3 linked regions of the Saccharomyces cerevisiae S288C genome follow. Each later gene encodes a partner of the first gene's protein in a complex. Each region holds a gene or a part of one and is shown on either strand. Other genes may lie near its edges.

Region 1 (3,140 bases):
TATCACCATGCCCCGACGCAAAGTTCTTCTCAGATCCCGATGCAAGGGTCGCAACAATCATACATGATAAGATCTACACAGAAAAGAATTTACCGCCTCCATCACCAACACTTTATGAAGGAACAGCAGCCAAGGAAGGCGAAACGAGGAAGACGAGAAAAGAGATGGAGGAAATCATAGCACGCCGCTGGCACAAGGGGATGCATTGGAGGAAAGTCGTGGTATTGCTGAAACCAGATGCCCACAATAACATCATCGTAAGAAGAAGGTTTTCCAACGCTTACGGCTGGCCGGTGGTTGACCACCTTGTTACCGCCCATTTCCAAAGAGATGACCCAATCGCCTCACCAATGCAAGATAAACAGTTTGCTGAGGAAGATATAAACATGGCAACCGGAGGGGTGGAACCAAACAAGTTCTACTCATGGCTCACCAAGATCGAGGATCCTAGTGTGTACCATGGTGGAATAGTCTCCACAGCTAGCCAGCTCGCCAGCTCCTGGATTAGCAAGCATTCCTCTGTGACAGATTGACTGTCTATCTTGACGTCATCCCGGGATTGACTTGCAATTTACTATTGTCCACACCTACGAAAGTCCATTTTACTTCGTAGTTCGATAAATGCGCTTACGGGTCTTTTTCGAGCGGGACAACTCTTCAGCTCCTCCCCTAAAACCGAGGCCGAATATCCCTTCTCCATATAAATAAGACACTTTTCACCAGGAAAACAATACTTCAGAAGCTTATTTCTCTTGACAAAAAGAGGGGTAAGATCTTTATAAAACATAAAGCAAATCAAAACATAATAACTACTACAAGTAACATAATGTGCTCAGCAGGCGGTATCAGAAGACCAATCCAGATCGAAGAATTTAAGACGGCGATAAGCGGCATGTCCGACATGGAGTTGGCACAGATTAAAACAGAAATTGAGAACAGTATCAATCATTTGCAGAGGTCTAACGCCCGCTTGGGTAAATACATAGCTAAGTTGGAGGGTGCTGACGACCGTCTTGAAGCTGACGACAGCGACGACTTGGAGAACATTGATTCGGGAGACCTGGCGCTGTACAAGGACTCTGTCAGGGAGAACGAAATTGTGCTAAACAATTACAATGAGAGAGTGGACGCATTGGAGCAAGAAACGGTATATAGAAAGACGGGCCATGGCAAGAGTAAGCACGAGGTAGAGGCAAAGGACAACACCAACAAGGGCCCTGACGTTGACATGGACAATTCAAATGTGGACGTCGTGACACCAAACAGCATATTCATTTAAGAGACGGGATTTAGTTTTACTGCGCATCATTTTCACGTCATACTCTTTGTCTCTCTGTTCTATCTCTTCGTATAAATATTTCAATAACTCCATTTGTCTATTCTATCTACCCGTTCTATCCTTACTACTAGATATCTTAAAGAAATAATAAAATAAGTAAATACAAAAAAAACTCGCTATTAATAATTTATCTCCGAAAGCCCTAGGGTGTGCTTTTCTTCCGTGCCCTAGTCTATTATTTTGAACCCTAGTTGGCGAAATTTTTTTCTAATATTCAGAAAAAAGAAACGTAGAGCTTATATGGTGAAGGAGTACAATGATACTAATAGTCTGTAGACGGCAAAAGGCATTCTTTTTGACTAGCACAACGACAGTTTGAGATTCTGTTGAAATAATCATTTATGTCTCTTTCGGTCGCCGAAAAGTCGTACCTATACGATTCACTAGCAAGCACGCCTTCAATTAGGCCCGATGGAAGACTACCTCATCAATTCAGACCTATAGAAATATTTACTGACTTCCTACCAAGTTCCAATGGATCGTCCAGAATTATAGCTAGTGATGGAAGTGAATGTATCGTGAGCATTAAGTCCAAAGTTGTGGATCATCATGTGGAGAATGAACTACTTCAGGTCGATGTAGATATCGCAGGCCAAAGAGATGACGCGCTGGTAGTAGAGACAATCACTTCTTTACTGAACAAGGTTTTGAAGTCTGGTAGCGGAGTAGATTCCTCAAAGTTGCAATTGACAAAAAAGTACAGCTTCAAAATATTTGTCGATGTTCTGGTCATTTCATCACATTCACACCCAGTTTCTTTAATATCCTTTGCTATTTATTCAGCGTTGAACTCCACATACCTACCGAAACTTATTTCAGCTTTTGACGACTTAGAGGTGGAAGAACTTCCTACGTTTCATGATTACGACATGGTTAAGCTTGACATTAATCCGCCTTTAGTGTTTATATTGGCCGTTGTAGGCAACAATATGCTATTGGACCCTGCAGCCAACGAAAGCGAAGTGGCCAATAATGGCCTAATCATTTCCTGGTCTAATGGTAAGATTACATCACCTATCAGATCAGTAGCATTGAATGATTCAAACGTTAAAAGCTTTAAACCTCATTTGTTGAAGCAAGGTCTTGCAATGGTGGAGAAATACGCCCCCGACGTAGTACGATCACTGGAGAATTTATAAAAATATAGTCACAATTAGATAAAAAGACAAATTAGTTTACATACTAAAAACTTCATGGTTAACAAAAGTGGGAATGAAACCTGATTCTTACATGTGTTGAACTGTATAGGAATGAACGATAACTGCGGTTGCCGTTTGAATATTCATTGATCTGATCACACCAAATTGTTGAATCTCTAAACATAAATCCAATTCGCTTAACAAAGTCCCCGGAATACCGAATGCTTCGGTTCCTAGCAAGATCAATGATTTTTTAGGGAATTGGAAATTGTTGTCTAGCTTCACTGATTTATCCGTTTGCTCTAGCCCAATTAATGTGTACCCTTCCTTCTTTTTCTCTTTCATGAAACTTGCAATCTCATCTAGGGCAACTTCCTCCATGGGCATCCATCTATCAGCAGTCACAGCAACATTTTTAAATTGAGGATGGTTTTTGACTTTGATGTCTTGTACAGTAAGCAGTCCCACACCTAAAACATCACATAACCTACAAATACCTCCCAGGTTTGGCGGCTTATCAACTAATGAAGATACCACAATCAATTCAGAACGTGTAACGACATCATTCGATTTTTTATTGTCCAGATCCAGAACGGTTTCCCAAGCTCCACTTTTTGTTTGCAGTGGAGAAGTGTCACAGGAGATGTTCGCGTTGTTAACAG
Region 2 (3,118 bases), on another chromosome or scaffold:
TGAACATCTCCCACGTTTCTCATTTCTTGGCTATTAAGGAGCCAAGAAATGAGAAAAGGCGAAAAAAAAAAAAAAAAAAGAAAAAAAAAAGTGTAAGTATGCCACATCTAAGAAGGGTGGCTACCACAAGGGTGCAGAGATTGCAGCAGTCCTTGCTTTCTTCAATTTTACTACTTCTTGTTACTCCTAGTCCGTGTGCTTGCGCAGATGTAAGTTGTGTTGAAACAACAAGCAGATGTAGTGGTCCCTGACGCTGGTTCCATCGGAAGATCCGATTCATTGTTTCCTTCTCTCCCTTCCCCGCTGACTGAGCGGAAAAAAAGATAAAAAAAAGAAGAAAAACCGGTGCGGGGCAGCAGGCAACTAAGAAAAACCGGAAAAAGGGTTGGCGTCAGATCGCTAGCAACGAGATTCCTCTTTTTTTTTCGATTTTTTGTTATTAGAGGAAGACGGCGCGACTGAGTCAGGCCGTAATCGGAATGGAAAACCGGGCGGCTACCGATCTTTGTCAGTGAAGAATATAAGATATGATGATTTCGTATATGTATATGAGTGTGTACATGTGACAAAAAAGATTGGAAACTTTAGTACATCCGCAAATAATGGATGGCAGTTTCATACCCCCAGAAACTCACAAAAGTGGTGGGTATTGTCTTGGAAAGGGCCACCAGAATACCTCTGTAAAGCGAACTCACACCTTCTTGTTTCAAAATCTGTAAACCGATTCTTGCGAATCCGTACCCTTTATAAGAACCGTATACAGACGAATGACGGGAGAACTTTTCCAGATGCTTCGAATTCATGAACTGCATTCGCCTACGGATCGTTTCGAGGGGGAAAGTAATGATCTTAGCAATGACGCCGCCAATGGTACCAGCGCTGTGATTTAAAGTAGCCAGTTCCCATTTTTTATGCGCGGCGGTCGTTTTTTCGTTTTCGTCACAGTATATCCTGATTGTTTCGTATGTTCCGAACATTATAGATGCGGTTAGAGTTATGGTTGTCATTGACGCGATGGAGCCCTTGAAAAATCCGGGGAGACCTTCTAGTTTCCAGATATCACGCACTTCTCTCGTGATGCTCATTGAGTGCATCTGGTTGTTGGCAACTAGTCGGGTCCGTAAAACATCGAACGGGTAGGAAACGATGGAACTGGTTATGCCAGCAAAGGCTCCGACAACAAGACTATGTAAGCGCGCCTCTAGTCCAAATGGAGTTAAATATCTATTAAAAAGGGAGTATGAACTAAACTGCGCTGAGCCATAGGTAACGTACAGCAAAGAACCGGGTATGTTACCCTTCCAAAAGGACCGGATGCCTTCGTTCTTTATCATGCTTCTGGCCACCTCCATGACCTGACTTCCGAAGGGCTTCAGCCCATTTGCAGGGGTCAATTGCAATCTGATCTTAATGGTATCCATGGGAGCAGTTATGCTACGGGCAAGCAGCCCGGATACGGCGCCAGCCAACAAAGTTTTCCACGCGGCCACATTTTGCCCTTTTCTTAACGAGTCCTCCTCTTTGAACATATCAACATTTATGTACTTTGAATGGTTTATATAAAGCTCCAGACTATGCCAAGTTAAAGGTGACAAAATAGCGCCTTTTCTTCATAAAGACTATTATGTACCTCTCTTTTTCTTTTTACTACTTTTTTTTTCCTTTTAAGCGCATCGGATTGTGGAAAAAAGAGTGGAAAATTTGTTAGATGAACCAGTTAAGATGCATAAAATATCTCTGCATATATGGTAATAACAAGGAGCCCAATACCAAGAATAGATTAGATTCTGCTGAAAAAAAAAAAAAAATGAGCGTCCAAGCAGAAATAGGGATATTAGATCATGTAGATGGTTCATCTGAATTCGTATCACAAGACACCAAGGTTATTTGTTCTGTAACAGGCCCTATTGAACCAAAAGCAAGACAAGAACTGCCTACACAATTAGCATTAGAAATTATTGTACGTCCCGCGAAAGGGGTGGCCACAACAAGAGAGAAGGTACTCGAAGATAAATTACGGGCAGTTCTGACCCCACTCATCACTCGTCATTGTTACCCAAGACAGCTCTGCCAGATAACTTGTCAAATTCTGGAATCTGGTGAAGATGAAGCCGAATTCTCCCTGAGAGAGCTAAGTTGTTGTATAAATGCGGCATTTTTGGCTTTAGTTGATGCAGGAATTGCCTTAAATAGTATGTGCGCAAGCATCCCTATTGCAATAATCAAAGACACTAGTGATATCATTGTCGATCCCACTGCCGAGCAATTGAAGATTTCGCTCTCTGTCCACACTTTAGCTCTGGAGTTCGTCAATGGCGGTAAAGTCGTGAAAAACGTTTTATTGTTAGACAGCAATGGTGATTTTAATGAAGATCAATTGTTCAGTTTACTGGAGCTGGGTGAGCAAAAGTGTCAAGAACTTGTCACAAATATAAGAAGAATAATACAGGACAATATATCACCTCGTCTAGTTGTATAGCCATTATAGATTATAATATACCACAACATGCTATGTCGTATGCCGGAGACTACCTCTTATATTTGGAAATAGTTATTATTCAATGTTCTAAAATTCTTAACATTTTCGTTGTTACATATACATAGCATATATATATATATATATTACATTAATTTTTATCTACCTTCAATCTACAATTTCAAACGCTTCAAGTTTTCAATAGTAGCTTCCAAACCTTCGATTTCGGCAACAGTGTTATCCAGCTTGCTTTTATTGGCTTCCTTGGCCTGTGTATTAGCCTTTGTTTCGTAATCCTTACTGTTAATGGTTTGTTCAATACCGTTCTTGGATTTTTTAGCCTTTTCAAGTTTCTTTTGAACTTTCGCAATTTCAGCATCAATATCAACGTGTCCCTTGACGAGAAGATGTACATTGACTTCTGGGTTAACAGATTGCAATACGCAACCTTCTGGAATTTCGGAAGCATCACGAACAACAGTGACTTCGTCGATGGCCTTGATCAACGAGACAATAGAATCTTTCTGATCTTCAGCAGTTTTGAAGTATTCCTCGTGGTTAGATTCAACGAAAACCTTACCATTCTTCAAAATATTGTACTCAGATAACAAGGAACGAGCTTCTTTGGTAATGTTCAAGACC
Region 3 (3,536 bases), 760 kb from region 1:
GATTCATATATGAAATTCTAGTCATTAATTAGAATTGTAAGTTTCTGAGCTTTTTTTTCCTAGTAAATTAAACTTGTCTAATACATCCAGTTGTGATGTATTCTATATCTCAGTTCTACAGTAGCACGAAGTTTCCCGGCCTCTCTATTCAATAAATTCAGCTATCGCTGATTATCAACAGCAGCAACGAATAAAGCATAAAAGAACAGAAAAATTCTTCTACAAATTTATTCTGTAAAGATTCAGCTTCTTTCGTGAATTTCTAAGTTCATGAGGGGAATTTAAGTATGGCGTTTCTTCGTAGCGCCATTGTCTTGAGCCAAAATGGAACTCTAAAAATTTTCACGACATTTTACTAGTCAGTAAAGTGAGCATATACATATAAGAAGAAATTTCAAAAGGTAAAAAATGGAGCAACTTCCAGCTCATTATCTTTTCAATGTTGTCGATGCCATAGTTGGATTATGAAATCTCATATTCATAACCACAACGCGTTTTTTTCCTTTTAAGGCACTACAGACTCCATTCTCACAAGTTTGTCAAAAGCACGAGCGCGATGAGAATTAAAGTCAGATCTGGTTAATGATTCTGGTACAACAGCAGAAACAAATCGAGTACAAATTTAATCTTATTCTGTCGCAATAGTTGACTTTCTTTTCTGGCCTCTCGAACAAAAAGCATGACCGTTTCCAACATTGGGGGGGAAGAACGACTAATAATTTTACCAGACGATTATGAAACTTCGAAAACTATAAACACTTTTACACTGCCGCCACCTTCCAATATTACATCCAAACCTCGTATCGAGCTCTTCGAAAATATTAATGGAAAACTTTACGAAATAAGATCTTTTCAATTCGGCAAAGGGCCCTCGTATTCACATGAGGAAGATTTGGCAAATGATAAATATCACTATACTAAGGAAAATCACCCGATCAAATCAACTTTCATTGTAAATACGTCTGATCCCACCGATGGTTATGTTTTTAACTCAAGCAAAATACACTTTTGTTCTTTATACGATATTGCTTTTAGTTTGATTGGATTTTACTATAGAAACAGTGTTTCAGCAGATGAACAAGATTACTCCAATTCAAGTGATACTGGTGAAAACCAAAAAAGCAACAGCAAAACCAATGAGAAATTTCTTACGGTGCGTGATTACCATGATTTCTTAACGGATAACCATGACAAGAATTGGGAAAACATTTCTTTAAGTCGTCTCAAGAGTGGCTTAGCAAAAGTTAGTGAAACCATTGAGGAAGCTGGTGACGTCTATTACAAGATCACATCTGCAATGATAACACAATTTTTGTTAGGCAAGGTATCAAAAATTGTAGAAAACTTTCCTCCAAGTATCCCTACACTTAAAAATGCCCCAACGGAAATAAAACAGTGCTACAAGGTAGTTATGGCTACAAATCTTTTAGTTTCCCTGATTCCAAGGGCGGCCTACCATAATTTACTTACCTTTTCACCTACAATGGATAGTGGTTGCCTAAATCCGGATATAAAAGCTAGCTTCATAGAACTCGAAAACTACGAGACTACGAACGAATTACAGAATGCTGAAAGAGAATTACTGATGAAAAGTGCCATGAATGTAGGCCTAAATTCGAATGGCAGGGTTTCATTGCCAGTGAAAAAAGTTACCAAAAAAATAGTTCAAAATAAAAAACCAAAAGTAGCCATAGGAAAAGGGGCCATTGATGGATTTTTTAAACGTAAGTAGCTAGTATCATAATTAAACAGCAATTTGAATGCTATAACTCGGTGGTGATGACCTCAGTGCGAGATAATTACACAATATTGTCACTACCAACGAATGGGCTACCTTTTTTTTCCTTTCTCGAATTCAAGAAAAAATTAACAACTTTTCCCTCGATGATGTTAACAAATGTCTGAATATAAAGGAATAGGAAACGGTTGCTAGATTGTATTTACCTTACCAACTTTCAAGTTTTTTTTCTAACTTCCTAACTTTCAGTCTCGATACATTAATCAACAGGACGTAGTGATTGCAAAATTGTTCAGAATATACATTAGATTAAAAGACAAATGGCCAAAGACATTGAGATATCCGCATCCGAGTCAAAATTTATCTTAGAAGCACTGAGACAGAATTATAGGTTGGACGGCCGCTCCTTTGATCAATTTCGTGACGTGGAAATAACGTTTGGTAAAGAATTTGGTGATGTTAGCGTAAAAATGGGCAACACCAAAGTTCACTGCAGGATTAGTTGTCAAATAGCACAACCATACGAAGACAGGCCATTTGAAGGATTATTTGTAATATCTACAGAAATATCTCCTATGGCTGGTTCTCAATTTGAAAATGGAAATATCACGGGGGAAGATGAAGTTTTATGTTCAAGAATAATTGAAAAATCTGTTAGGCGGTCGGGCGCATTGGACGTGGAAGGACTATGTATCGTTGCTGGCAGTAAATGCTGGGCTGTGAGAGCTGATGTACATTTCCTGGATTGTGATGGTGGATTTATTGACGCTTCGTGTATTGCCGTCATGGCAGGATTGATGCATTTTAAGAAACCAGATATAACTGTCCATGGCGAGCAGATCATTGTTCATCCTGTTAATGAAAGAGAGCCAGTTCCACTAGGTATACTGCATATTCCAATATGTGTAACTTTTTCTTTCTTCAATCCTCAAGACACCGAGGAAAACATAAAAGGTGAGACTAACTCAGAAATTTCCATCATTGATGCAACATTGAAAGAGGAACTACTGCGAGATGGTGTATTGACGGTTACGCTAAACAAAAACCGTGAAGTGGTACAAGTTTCCAAAGCGGGTGGTTTACCAATGGATGCGTTGACGCTAATGAAATGTTGTCACGAGGCTTACAGCATTATTGAGAAAATAACTGATCAAATACTGCAGCTTTTAAAGGAGGATTCAGAAAAGAGAAACAAGTATGCAGCCATGCTTACATCTGAAAATGCCCGCGAGATCTAATATTAACGAAAAAACTGAAATAAAAGCAACGCTTATACATATACATGCATGCATTAATATATGTATATATATCGGTACGTATAGATTGTAAAATTACACTTACTACTAAAGGCAGTATGAAAGACGCCCGCAGTTTTTTTCCTACTGTTTTCTTGACTGCGGTGTTCAAAAACATAAAAATCATTAAATTACTATAAAACAAACGCATACTGCGAAGAAAAAAGGCTCGGCTATAAATGCATATGAGAAAATATTATCTTTTGCCTCCCTGCTTAATTTCTGAAGGCATGTACTATCCAAAAGAAAAATCTTGAAAGAAAACAAATCCCATTATTCTTATTATTAAAACAAAAACTTCGTCATCGTCATCACATAAAAAAGACCTACCATTGTCAAACTGTACAACAGCAACACAATAATAATGACGATGATGAGTTCCTCGAGAAACCCTAGAACGGCGTTATAACACTGTTTGAGGGTATTACTTTTTCCACTACTCTCGTGGCGCGGAAGACCTGCTTCCAAATCTACTGTGTAATCAATACACTTAACCTCCTCTC

The links.
Region 2: RRP42 (region 1) and RRP46 share a complex: the UniProt entries of both Saccharomyces cerevisiae proteins name them as parts of the RNA exosome complex.
Region 3: RRP42 (region 1) and RRP45 share a complex: the UniProt entries of both Saccharomyces cerevisiae proteins name them as parts of the RNA exosome complex.

The regions. Positions count from the first base shown.
Region 1 is NC_001136.10:262,651-265,790, reverse strand, and holds RRP42 (exosome non-catalytic core subunit RRP42), read left to right. Parts: upstream 1-1,680; coding exon 1,681-2,478; downstream 2,479-3,140. Other genes in the region: YDL109C (putative lipase), read left to right, coding at 1-533; TMA17 (Tma17p), read left to right, coding at 827-1,279; TRM3 (tRNA (guanosine(18)-2'-O)-methyltransferase), read right to left, coding at 2,566-3,140. UniProt on the Saccharomyces cerevisiae protein: Non-catalytic component of the RNA exosome complex which has 3'->5' exoribonuclease activity and participates in a multitude of cellular RNA processing and degradation events.
Region 2 is NC_001139.9:675,032-678,149, reverse strand, and holds RRP46 (exosome non-catalytic core subunit RRP46), read left to right. Parts: upstream 1-1,807; coding exon 1,808-2,479; downstream 2,480-3,118. Other genes in the region: thiamine transporter TPC1, read right to left, coding at 585-1,529; VAS1 (valine--tRNA ligase), read right to left, coding at 2,650-3,118. UniProt on the Saccharomyces cerevisiae protein: Non-catalytic component of the RNA exosome complex which has 3'->5' exoribonuclease activity and participates in a multitude of cellular RNA processing and degradation events.
Region 3 is NC_001136.10:1,018,689-1,022,224, forward strand, and holds RRP45 (exosome non-catalytic core subunit RRP45), read left to right. Parts: upstream 1-2,058; coding exon 2,059-2,976; downstream 2,977-3,536. Other genes in the region: RNH202 (Rnh202p), read left to right, coding at 680-1,732; PHM6 (Phm6p), read right to left, coding at 3,319-3,536. UniProt on the Saccharomyces cerevisiae protein: Non-catalytic component of the RNA exosome complex which has 3'->5' exoribonuclease activity and participates in a multitude of cellular RNA processing and degradation events.